2 linked regions of the Drosophila melanogaster genome follow. The protein of the gene in region 1 interacts with the protein of each later gene in a pairwise test. Each region holds a gene or a part of one and is shown on either strand. Other genes may lie near its edges. The genes, in order: Saf-B and CG34334.

Evidence for each region.
Region 2: the proteins of Saf-B (region 1) and CG34334 interact in a two-hybrid assay, tested with the Drosophila melanogaster proteins (one large-scale study listed by BioGRID).

Annotation. Positions count from the first base shown.
Region 1 is NT_033777.3:24,815,529-24,822,892, forward strand, and holds Saf-B (scaffold attachment factor B), read left to right. Parts: upstream 1-1,935; 5' UTR 1,936-2,088; coding exon 2,089-2,208; intron 2,209-2,333; coding exon 2,334-2,822; intron 2,823-2,882; coding exon 2,883-2,910; intron 2,911-3,057; coding exon 3,058-3,172; intron 3,173-3,274; coding exon 3,275-3,321; coding exon of another isoform or gene 3,322-3,335; exon of another isoform or gene 3,336-4,200; coding exon 4,201-5,239; exon of another isoform or gene 5,240-5,568; coding exon 5,569-5,718; intron 5,719-5,771; coding exon 5,772-6,197; intron 6,198-6,265; coding exon 6,266-6,638; 3' UTR 6,639-6,822; downstream 6,823-7,364. Other genes in the region: CG5808 (uncharacterized protein), read right to left, coding at 1-1,424; niki (nimA-like kinase), read right to left, coding at 6,873-7,017, 7,070-7,302, 7,356-7,364.
Region 2 is NC_004354.4:22,870,811-22,876,060, forward strand, and holds CG34334 (uncharacterized protein), read left to right. Parts: upstream 1-2,001; 5' UTR 2,002-2,205; coding exon 2,206-4,332; 3' UTR 4,333-4,557; downstream 4,558-5,250.

The sequences.
Region 1 (7,364 bases):
GACCTAGAACGTCTTCCTAATTGGTCTCTAGGCCTAGAAGGCCTTCTCTCTTCTCGATCTCTTGACCTAGAGTACCTTCTATGTGTTGCATCCCGAGACCTCGATGACCTTTTTTCATTGCGATTCCTTTCGCGATTTGAGTTCTCTCTGACTGACTCATTTTGCGATTTTTTCGATCTATAAACACTTTTTTCATCTTTTTCCTTCGATCTGGTGCGTCTTTGCAAATTCTTTCGAACATCTCGTTCGCTTTGCTCCTGGTGTCGCTGTTCTCTCGCTTTTCTTCGCTCTGCAGAGCTCATCCTATTTCGAAAATCTTCCGTCCTGTTGCGCTCCTTATGGTCTTCTGTTCTGGACCGGCCATTGTTTGGTTTCCTGTGATCTTTGTCGTCTCGCAAATTGTTAAAATCCAGCTTTCTATAGTCGCCCTCAATACCACGTCCTTTGCCCCGCCAGGTGACCTTTGAAACGGATTGGGAGAAGTCCACGTGGATGCGTCGATCGTCGATAAGCACATTATCCATTTTGAAATATGCGGCCTCACAAGATTTTTGATCCTCGAACTCCACAAAAGCATATTGCAGAGAATCTCCCGTTTTGCGGTCGCGAATCACCTCACATCCTTTAAGCACGCCGAAGCTACTAAAGATTATCTCCAGATCATCGTCGGTTGTAACAGGATTGAGTTTGCACACAAACAAGACATTTTCTGGCGGAGCCATGTCTGCATCGGGTAAATCGCCGACAATCTCAAGGATTGTGGCTCGAGCCTTGGCCTCTCGTTCGGCCAGCATCTCCTGCATCTCCTCCGCGGTCATGCCATCAGTGTCATCGATATCCTCGTCGGCAGCGATGCGCCCGTTCTTCAGACGCTCCGCACTGGGCGAAGGTGAGCGACTTGGAGCCTGAAGGCCGCGCGGATTAGGAAACGGATCCTCAAGCACAACAGTGTGTGTGATGCGTATATCCTGGTAAGGACGGAAGCTGTCGTCAACAATGGCGTCGTTTAGCTTGCGCAGCACCTCGTGACCTTCCACCACTTCACCGATAACGCAGTGGTTGCCGTCCAGCGATGTTAGGTTCTCACCCAGCGTGAGGAAGAACTGGGATCCCACCAGATTCTTGCCTGCACTGACCAGCGATAGCATTCCGGCACTGGAGTGGTTAATCTTGGGCAGGAACTCCGCCTCGAAGAAGCGCTTTTGCGGACCCTCCACCACGCCCCAGATGGAGGATCCGCCGTCTCCAGCTCCACTCGGATCGCCTGTTTGGGCGATGAATCCCTGCTGCACCGTGTGAAATAGATTGAAGTTATAGTACTTCAGCCGGCACAGCTTGAGGAAGTTTAGGCAGGCAATTGGGCGCTCGCTGATGAACAGGTCGACGGTCAGGTCACCCATCGTGGTTTCTATAACCACCGACATTGTGCGAATTCACAGATACCGGCAAAATCAAGGGATAAACAAGAACAATATAGAGGTGGAGAAACATCGATGCCAAATCGATATCATCGATGCTTTCGAAAAATCACAAACATCGATGTTTTTCGAGGAATCATCGATGTTTTTCCATCTCTACTGCGCATCGGAGGAGAGAAGTGTATAAATTGTAGGTATAAATTAATTATCCAAATTTTCTAATACAATTATTAATTTAATGTGACTTATGTCGGTGTTATATGAAACTTGTACAAAATTGGTATTTTACATAAATTTTGAAAAAAAAATATTTTTTTTTATGTACCCTAAACTGAGAAAAAAGTAAAAAAAATACAAACTGAACAAAACTGAAAAAAAATAAAGAAAATACAAATTGATCAAAGAAGTCCATACCTGTAAATGTAAATAGTTATACACGATGCGTAAGTTCATCCGATACTTGACATCGATTGAATATTTTAAAAACAGAACGTAACTTCGTAATCGCCATTTTCGATTGTCATTCGATAATTGTGTGTGTATCAGTGAGACTTGTCAAAGAATTTTCACACGTTTCGAGACTGGAAAAAAGTACAGAAAATTTCATTCCAATCTTAAAAAGCGACAATTAATAGTTAAGCAAGTGACCAGTGATCTAGAACAAGGTAAAATGCCCGAGGCAGGAAAGAAAATAGCAGAGTTGCGCGTGTGCGATCTAAAGAGTGAGCTGGAGAAACGCGAGTTGGAGACAGTCGGCCCCAAGGCGGTGCTCATCGAACGCCTTGAAAAAGTAAGTCCACAAATATGTATGCAACTTAAATGGCGGTTCAGTGCCGCTGGCGATAGAGATAGTGATGCAATTTCCGGGGATTTATGAATGTGTGTAAGCAACGCCTGGTTTTTTCTAATTTCAAGTCACTCAGAGCTGAAGGGCTCGACCCGGCCACCCACTTGATTGTGCCGGGCGCGAAGGCCAAGAAGCCGTTTGCCATGCCCATGAAAGATCTCCAGTCGGAGGTGGTGATCAAGGAAGAGCCCATCGATGCCAATGAGGAGGAGGTGAAGGTGGAACAGCAAGATGATTACCAGAATGGCAACGACTACTCGCATCATGCCGACGACGATGGGCATGAGATTGACCAGGTGGGAGATGTGGACGATGAGTGTGTGATCCTGGATGACGACGATGAAGAGGATGAGGATCATGTGTACGACGATGAGCCCCAGAGCGGTGATGGCGATGCCGAGGGGAAAGCTCAGGACGATGGAGCCGAGAACAATGGCGACGACAAGGCTATTATCCATGGTGAGGAGGAAAACACCGGGGACACCGGAAATATGGACAATGACGAGTCAATCAATTTGACAATTGGGGAGGACGAGCAGAAGCTGCTGCACGATGAGGTGATTTTAACTATTTGGCCTTAAATTGATGTATTCTAATCCAATTTGTTTTGTCCTCAGGCTTCCGACGACAAATCTATTAAGTCTGGTATGTTTGCAGTATCACTCAAAACCATAGAAAATTTATAATTCATGACTAGAAATATCATGGCGTTTGTATTCATGCAATCGATTAAGAAATACGAAATACAAGAAATAAAGCTAATATGTTAATAAAAGTTATCCTGATTCACAGTCAAACCGGCCAATAAATCCGAAAAGTCTAACTCGAAGGATGCCGACAAGAAGAATGACGACGGAGCTCGCTCCAAGAAAAGGGATGAGAAATCCGGTGATAAGAAGGACTCTAGGTAAGATTTGAAAACGTTTCTGTGACATGTCTTCTAATAACATAATATATTTTTTCTTTTCATTTCGCCACATGATTGTGCATAAATTATTATGGAAAATAGTGAACAAAAGTCCTCAGGAAAGTCGTCGAATCAAAAGGACGATAAAGGTAAATTAAGTTAAAGTTTTAGCATGAATAAGAATGGTGTGTTCGGATGGTCTTGCGTTGGGAATGATCAGACCAAGCATGAACCCAGTTAAGGTCGAAAAAATTGACTAAACCATTGAGGAACATGTATCAAAGACCGTGCAAGAGAGTGTGAATTTGGTTGGGACACGGACATGGGACTCTTATCAACAAGGATGCGAGAATTCGGCTCAGGAGCAGCGATGCATCTTAAATTCAGCAATTCGAGTTAATCTTAGTGTTTGTTCCAGTTAACTTCGACGGAAACTTCATACTAATCAAACACACATCCCAATGTTCTCCAAGGAGTTTATAACATTGGTCATCAATAGGCGTATGTGCAAATACTCCGTTGAGGGGCCTATAATATAAAATGAGGCTATCTGGAGAATAAATGGATGGCACCTTTCCCTTACTGCAGCTGGGAAGTGCGGATATTTTTAATTCTTCTCGGCAGATAACTACTGGATTTGTATTACATCACTTATTTCGATCCTGGCTAGGATATGCTGGCCTTACCTGTGGATGACGATGGAAACTGACAGCTATTTAAACAGTCAGCTCTGGATATGCTGCTCTATACTCTGAACGCCTTCAGCAAAAAGCGAGCCTGCTGCCGCAATGGATTTTCATCAGCAACCCAATCAAATTCATACTCTCTTAGCTTCGTTAGGTGAAGTTTGTCGGTAATCTTACGATTGTGCTCTAAACTCCAACATCTGCAGCAGCTACAAAATGTGTGCGTTCACAAAATGCTTCCCTTAAAAACGTATCATAAACAAAAACAGTTAACCAGTTAAGCCCACTCAAAGCTCTGACCATATCTCTCTTCCAATATTATTATTTACATGGAACTTGCAGAGAAATCGACAGCAGCACCTGGTGGTGCCACATCCTCCACTGCATCGAGTGCCGCTGGCAGTAAATCGGGATCCGGTTCCAGTGCTGGCAATGGTACTGGGGCCAACTCAAACAACAAGCAGGCGACGCTGTCGCGAAATCTATGGGTTTCTGGGCTGTCCACTTTAACCCGTGCCAGCGACCTTAAGGCAATCTTCTCCAAGTTTGGCAAGGTGATTGGGGCCAAGGTGGTCACCAATACGCGTACTCCGGGCACTCGCTGCTACGGATACGTGACCATGTCCTCCTCGGCAGACGCCTCGCGTTGCATCGAAAATCTGCACCGCACCGAATTGCATGGACGCATCATTTCGGTGGAGCGTACCAAGAACGAGATTGGCGGCAGCTTGAATTCCAAAGAGGGCAAGGGCAAGGCTCCGGGCGACGCCGGAAACAAGAAGAAGGAAGACGACAGTGGCAAAAAGTCTGGTAGTGGCAAGGGCTCCAGCTCCAACAGTGGCGATGACAAGAAGGGCGGCGATGGAAACGGCGACAGCAAGTCTGTTGGTGGCGATTTAAAGCGTGATGGCAAGGAGAGCAACAGGGCCCGCAGCCGTCGCAACGATGACCGGGGCAAGTCGTTGGCAAGCCAGGATAGACCGCGCCACGATCGCGAGCGATCCGCAAAGGGTAGTCAGGATCATCGTTCGGGGCGCAATCCACGCGACGTCGACCGTGAGATTCAGCAGCGCCAGAGGGAGCGCGAGCGTCGTCAACGAGAGATGCTGTCCTACCAGAAGATACGTGAGGAGCGCGAGCGCCAGCGCCTTCGGGAAAGGGAGCGTGAGCTGCGTGAGGAGGAGCGTCGCCGTCGGGAGGCCCGTGAGCGCCAGCGAATCGAAGAGGAACGTCTGCAGGAAGAACGGCGCAAGCTCGCTGTGGAGCGGGAACGGCTCGAGCGGGAGAAGGCCGAGCTTTTGCGGATGGAGCGCGAGCGCCAGAAGCTGGAGAGAGAAAAAATCGAGCTGGAACGCCTCGAGCTGAAGCGACAACAGATGAAGTATGCTAAAAAAAAAACCAAAACAGACCGTAATGCGTTGCACTCGTGCCAACGCAGAGGCGACAACACAGATATACCAATATATTTATTTTATACTCTCTCGGAAAGCATTTGTCCTTGTGATTAGCGTGTTAAGTTGCAGCCTCCACGTTGTTTCTTCAACTCAAATTGCTTTTAAGCGGAACGTTGATAGGCAAATGCATCCTAGTCTAAAGTCTGAGTCTGATACCCCCACTTCACTCCAGAACTGACATTACTAGCATTACTAACTCAACTCTTTTATTTCTTCCATCTCTCTTCCTCTCAATCTTGTCGATTTACACAAACAGGATCATGGAGTCCCGCGATGATCCTGGCAAGCGCGGGGTAAGCAAACGTGCCGACGACCGCTATGGAGACGTTACTGATCGTAAGCGCACAGCTATTTTTGATGCGCCACCACCACCGAGATTCGACACGAATCTAGTCAGCTCCCGCAGGTAAGTATTCTTCCACAGAAAATAACTTGCGAGTTACAATCATGTCTTTGCAGCACCTATGACAAAAAACACGATGACTACGGATCCTCGTCGAGCACCAAGCGCGTGCTTGATGACTATTCTAGTTCCAGCAAGCGATTGGATTACTCCAGCAAGCGTAACGACTACAGCAGTTCTTCTGGATCCAAGCGTGGCGCTGTCGATGATTATACTGCCGTGCCCACGAAGCGCTCCAACGATTATAGTGCCTCCTCTTCTAGCAAGCGCGACGACTATAAGCGCGATGAAGTCCGTCATTTGCCACTTTCAGGAACTGTCGGCGGTGGCTCAAGCAGCTCGTATTTGCACAAGAACAACACAGCCGGTGGCGGAGCCGGATCCTACGTCCACAAGAACAACACCAGCGGCACTGGCGGGCGCTACAACGATTCCGATCGCAGCAACACATCGAGCTATAGACGCGACGACTCCCACAGCCTGTAAAAGTTTTAACAATAGAATTAAACTAGTTACGATGGATTCTAACTATTCTAATTTTTTATTATAGCGGTAACAAGCGTTATGACAACTCCAGCGGCGGCGGTGGAGCCTACGGCAGCAGTTCGAACAGCGTTAACATCTGGGCGCCATCATCCGGCGGAAGCAGCTCTCACCTGGGCAGCGGTGGCGGCGGCGGCAACCAAATTAAGTCATACGGCAACAACGGCATGTCCTCGAATATGCACAGCACCAATTCGTGGCAAAAGTCTGCTCCCGTTGACGACAACGGTTGGCGGCAAGTGCCCGCGCGCTTCGATCGCGGCTACAACGAACGTTCAACCGGCTATCAAGGGCAGAGTGGGGGCGGAGGAGCAGGCGGAATGTACGGCGCGAGCCGACCCGCCCAGGATCGCTACAGCGGACCGGTGTCGCGCTACTAGGAAATGTGCATTTACATAAAATGAGGCAATTCGAATTTCCAAGCATGCATCCCCACATCCAACACACCCCCCTGAGTGACTTTTCCAGCAGCGCCCAGGAGCGCTGCTCTTAATATAATGAGCTTTAGTTGTAGTTCTAAAACTTAAAATTACATTTGGAAACCAATAAATGTATTATCAAACTATGTTGAAAATGCGCATACATTTATGTTACATCTGCAGGATTTATTGAACCTATAGGTGCGGGTAATCACCTTCGTATGAGGATATTAGTGGCGTGGTCGTGTCTACCAGCACCAGAACGCTATGTGCCAAAGGATAAACGTCATGCACCTGGACGTAATAGCCACGGTCGCACTGCTCCTTGGAAGAGAAGAGACTGCAGGAGATGCAGGTAAAAATAAAATCCCTGTTGCAAAATGAAAACATACGCTAATATATCCACCGGTTCCAGTATCAGCTCCGACTTGTAGACCGAGGCCAGAAAGTTTGTAAACGCTGCCGTGTTATTTCCCAACTCCAGCTCCATGTTGGGTGTGCAGATCTGCAGTCCCAGGCCACAGTTGGTCGAACCAATCCCCGGGAGGCCATTACGAGTACCCCAAACGGTGATGATGTTGTCCTCCGAGGCGACAATGGTACACTGGTCGCTACAGTTCGCCTTCTACATGCGACGGTTTAGAAGGGATTTCTCAACTAACACAGAATAATACAAACCACAATATA
Region 2 (5,250 bases), on another chromosome or scaffold:
AATTATCCCGGTTCACTCCGGGATTACTCTCAAATGGCCCGGATTATGTCCAATGACCCAAATCGGGAGGGGATTAGAAATATGACGAAATAGGGCCCCCGGCAATATTGCATTGGAAGACAGGAAAATACATAAATATTTCGTGAAGCCAGTCTACATCGCCGTCGAAAATTCATCTGTATTTTGGTAACTTGCTTGTCCACTACACTAAGGAGTCAGAATCTGCTCGGATTAGGAGTCTTCCAGGGCAACCTCCCTTGACTCCCGTAGATTCCCTGGACACTCTGAAGACGTCGACTGCCACAATTATTTCAACGGCCGTCAACCGCTGGTGCTAGGATATATTATTCCATTAGGCTTTGTTTTGTGTAAATTATTTTGAAACGCTTACCTGAATTTGTCACTAAATCCGGTGTCAATCGCGAGTCTGAATTGTCGTCGGTGGGCCAGTGGGCCAGATGATTTTTCTAGTGGGACAAAAGTCACATTTTTAAATATTTAAATACAGTTTTTTCTTTTTTAACTGACTCTAACTGACTATCCGTCTGAGCCTATAAGAGTTAGCATAAGAGTTTTTGCTTGTTTAAACATATGTTTCAGCGCGTGGTCATTAAATATTTGGCGTAACGTTTCGTATTTGTTTATTGACCTTTAATTTAAACAAAGTAAAACAAATTCAATTAACAACTTATGTTAACTTTAGGAAATAAATGTTCGAAATAAAAATAATGTGTTTGTGACCCGCATTTTTATGTTTAGTAAAAACAAGTGTTCGAAGTTTTTATTTTACCAGGTATGGCATTACGCTTGAATTTAGCATATTTGGACTATAACTAACCTTGTTCACTCTTGTTCGAGCTGATTTAAGCATTTATGTAACGTGTGAGCCTTTGTGTCGTTGATTTTTTCAGAATTATATCCAACTTTGACCAACTGTAAAGTCTGTCAGCCCCAAAGCGTGTGCTTCATTCCAATTGGCTTAGCGAAACTGATCCCGCATACCAAAAGTAATTGGTATTTGGTACACTTTTAAAGAATCGTCAGCTTTCTGAAATATAATCTGAAAGAAAATCAACTAATTTTGACCATTTCAAAGCAGTCGACGATCTAGGGTGATCGCTGCCTAATGAGTGATTGAAGAAAAAAATAAAGAATGTAAGAGTTAATCAGTAATTATATGTATGTGTAATAAAACAAGAAAGCATACCGGAATGCTTCACCTTTGGGGAGATGGGGCTGTCCTAGTCGTTTGAAGCGACACCGACGTGTTGATAATGAGTGATGTCCGCAATAATCCTTCGTGCAACCTAGGTCGGTTGGGTGCCAGTACTTTAAGATTTTGTCGTTTATGTAAATTGAATTCGTTTTTTTTCTTCTACTTTTTTTTGCTTGTCTGCTTTTTAGAGATCATAGATATGTAGGGTCGATAGTCGATGTCGATAGTTATCGATGCCTATGTTGCAAGCTGTGTGGCACTCCGCCCTGAGAAAAGCCTGAGCTAGGGGCACTGCCACTAAAAAAAAGAAGGCAGTTCGTAACATACATATATAGGTTAAGTTAATCTGCGAATCTGCACACTTTCTTACAACTAACTTCCTATCTTTTATACTTCCTGTGAGCCCGACGTTTATACGGACAGACAGACGGACATTGTTCATTTGATCAAAATTTGATATGTCATATTAATTGCTAGTTATAATAAAGAGATCATAGTTTCGGTGCTTTTAATTATAAAGTGTTTTTACTTGGTATACAACAAATTTGTATTTAAATGTATAGTAACTGGAAGGGTATATAAACTTTGTATTACCGATGCTACCTTCCTTTTCTTGTCTGTGTATATTTAAATTATGTTGACAGGTGATAGGAATGCCTTCCCTGAATGACGATAGTTACAGCCCTGATTTCGAAGTGTTGGACAACGATTATATCCTTAATGTGGTCTGGTCTAGTGTTAAATTGCTTGAGAATTCGTTACTGCGGTGACCTAAGGTGGCAACCACAAAGCAAAAAAGTTGTTATCTATCATTGAGTGGCCTTTGCTTGGTCAGCTTTTATTTTTATGACAGTTGTCAGACCAAGTTTTTACACGCCATTACATTTTCATAAGGCAGCCGTTCCCAACGTGTGAGTAACGGAGCATCAAATCAAAATAGTTTCGAAGGCCGTCATATTTGTTCGCAGTGAAAGTGAAATCTTGTGAAAATGACCAAGGTATCAGGGACGAAGGCAAAAGACGATGGCGAGCCAGCCACTAAGCGCGAACGCAAGGAGATGCATTCGCACAAGAAAGATCGCAGGGAGCGATTGGAACGCATGGAGCGCATGGACCGCAGGGACCGCAGAGACCGCAGAGAACGCAGGGACCGCAAGGACCGCAAGGACCGCAAGGACCGCAAAGAGCCAGCCAGAGGCCCCTCCTCCCGGATGAGGAACATCTCACCAATTCACTCGAATGCTTCGGAGAGCACTGAAGCAGACTGCAGCGACTCCAGCTACTCGGACTCGAGCTACAGCACCTCTGGATCGTCCAGCTGCACAAGCTTTTTGAGCTCCACCAGCAGCAGCTACTCGTCGAGCGACAGCGAGCCAGAGCCAGAAGGATCCGTCAAAAAGTTTGAGCGCACCAAGCACTCGTGTTGCCATTACCGACACCATCGTCGCCATAGGCGCCACCAAAACCCTCGTCATTCGCACCGTCGCCGGCACGTCACCCGTTGCCATCACTCGAATCACGGACGCTTTTCCAAGCGTTTGGCTAAAAAGAGTCGTCGTGGCATATCCGCCGCCAAGGGAGCTATCACGGTTAAGGAGGAGGTTGTCGAAAAAATTTCTCCTGCTTCAGCCCCTGGGGTCATTCAGATACCGGCACCCATTCCGCTGCCCGTGCCGGCACCCATTCCGGCTGTCCTGTCTGTTTCGGAGGCACAACCGCGTTCCCACTCCCGTTCGCAATCGCACTCCCATCTCCATAGCCATTCCAGCTCCCATAACAATCCCCACCCGCAACCCGTTCCGGCCCCTGTTCCGGTACCAATTCCTGCTCCGATCGCCATGCCAACTCCTATGAGGGAGCCAAGCAGCGTGGTATTGGACCGCAAGTCTCGTAGACGCAGCTCCACCTCGCAGAACATCGCCTCGGCCGCCAGCAGTTCTATCGGCACCAACCAAGCCATCATCCAGTCTAGCACTATAACCATTACAAAGACGATTGCCAACGCCACTGGTATGGCCGAAACCAATTCAAGTGGCGGCGCTAGCATCTCCAGCACAAAAAATAAGGGGGACAGCAGTACCGGCCAATCTTCAAAGACGGTTGTCACCAATAACGCGGGCAGCAAGGCGGGTTACCAAGCCCCCAAGACTTCAGTGGCAAGCACATCTTCGAAAGCGGTGGTCAGGTCTAACGCAAGCGCCAGTTCAGGCCACGGGAACCACACCAGTTCCAGCTCGAGTTTCACCCAGCTGCACTCCAGTGCCAGGCCCTCGACAGCCAAAGATCACGACAAGAGTCCTCAGCAGAACCGCTCAGGCAGCTCAGGCCCCAAGGGCAAGTCGTCGAAGATCAACGATCCTCCACGTCGTGGCTCTTCACCGTCTGCTGGTGCAGAACCTACTCGCCAAAAACAAAGCGTTCAAAATCAAAATGGGCGGAATTGCAGCAGCCAGTGGAACCATCGGCGCGGTGAAGGGGATGGAGAAGGAGCAGAAGCAAGTGGACGGGGCTACAGAGCCGTGGGTGAGGTAAACAAAGTGGCCTACAGAAACGGAAAGGACGCCTTCAAATTTCGCCAACCCGTGCGCAATGTTCGCCTGCACATTAAGGGATTGACGCGTCAGGTGACCAAGGAGCACATAACCGAGATATTTGGTCACTTCGGCGCCCTGACGGCAGTCGACTTTCCAATGGACCGTTTCCAAGGGCGCCAGGGACGCGGATACGCCTTTGTGGAGTACTCACGTCCAGAGGACTGCGCCAGTGCCATCAAGCATATGAACGGCGGGCAGATCGATGGGAAGCTGATCAGGGTGTCCGCCTTTCAGGAAAGCATGCTAAAGGCGCCGTGGCGTCAATACCGACGTTACTCGCCAGTCAACCGGCGCCAGAGCCAGCGTACGTTGTCCCGCTCGGGCTCGTCGTCACGCTCTCGATCGCCGTCCCGCTCTGCGTCCGGCTCGGAATACGGGTCGCGGTCCTCCCACTCTCGCGTCCGCTCTATGTCGGGATCGCGCTATTCTCGGCGCAACCGTTCGCAATCGTGCTCCTACACTCGCTCATCGCCGCGCTACGGGCATTACCATCGCCCTAGACGCGATTCGCGTTCGCCCTAGATAGGCGGACCTGTCTAATGTTGCAAAAGGAAGGCGAGATTAAGCCAGACAGGATTTTCAGGACTCTGCCAGATGCCTATTTTATTCCATTCCAACTTCAAATACAAATGTAGACTTGATGGACATCGTGCGTTTTAAAAGTTACTTATTAATACCAGTCTAATTTAAAAACATTGTTGGGCTTAAAATAAATAAAAATAAAAATCCATGCTCCGCACAAAAAAGAATTGTGAGGTATATCAGAAAATAATCATCGTATGTAAGGTGGTTATCTGTTAGTAATAATATAAAAGCCCACTGCAATCAATCGATTACCAAAAGACAGGTAAATGGTATTTCGTAGAGAACGCTTAGAAAAAAAGTACCGCTATTCGATGTAAAATCAAGAACAAACCATATCGAAAGTACGGTAAGCCCAAAACTTGTATAAGGGTATAATATATATAATAGGGTATAATAGATTCGTTGAAAAGTATGTAACAGACATAAGGAAGCGTTTCCGACTATATTAAGTATATATATTCTTGATCAGGATCAATAGCCGAGTCGAGACAAGTCGTCTGTCCGTCTGTCCGTATGAACGTCGAGATCTCAGAAACTATAAAAGCTAAAAGGTTGAGATTCAGAATACAGATTGTAGAGACAAATGCGCAGTGAAAGCTTGCTGACCCGTGTTGCCACGCCCAATCGCCAACAAACCGCCCACACACTTTTTTTTGGTTTGTTCATAATTTTATTAGTCTTGTAAATTTCAATCGATTTGCCAATACAACTTCTTGCCACGCCGTCTCACTCACACATAAAAAACGCTTAAATTTTTCTGCATTATATTGTTTGTCTTGCCAATTTTTATCTCTATACCAAAAACACTGTGGCCACACACCTCCTTTCACACTCCGCAACTTTTAAGCAATCTGA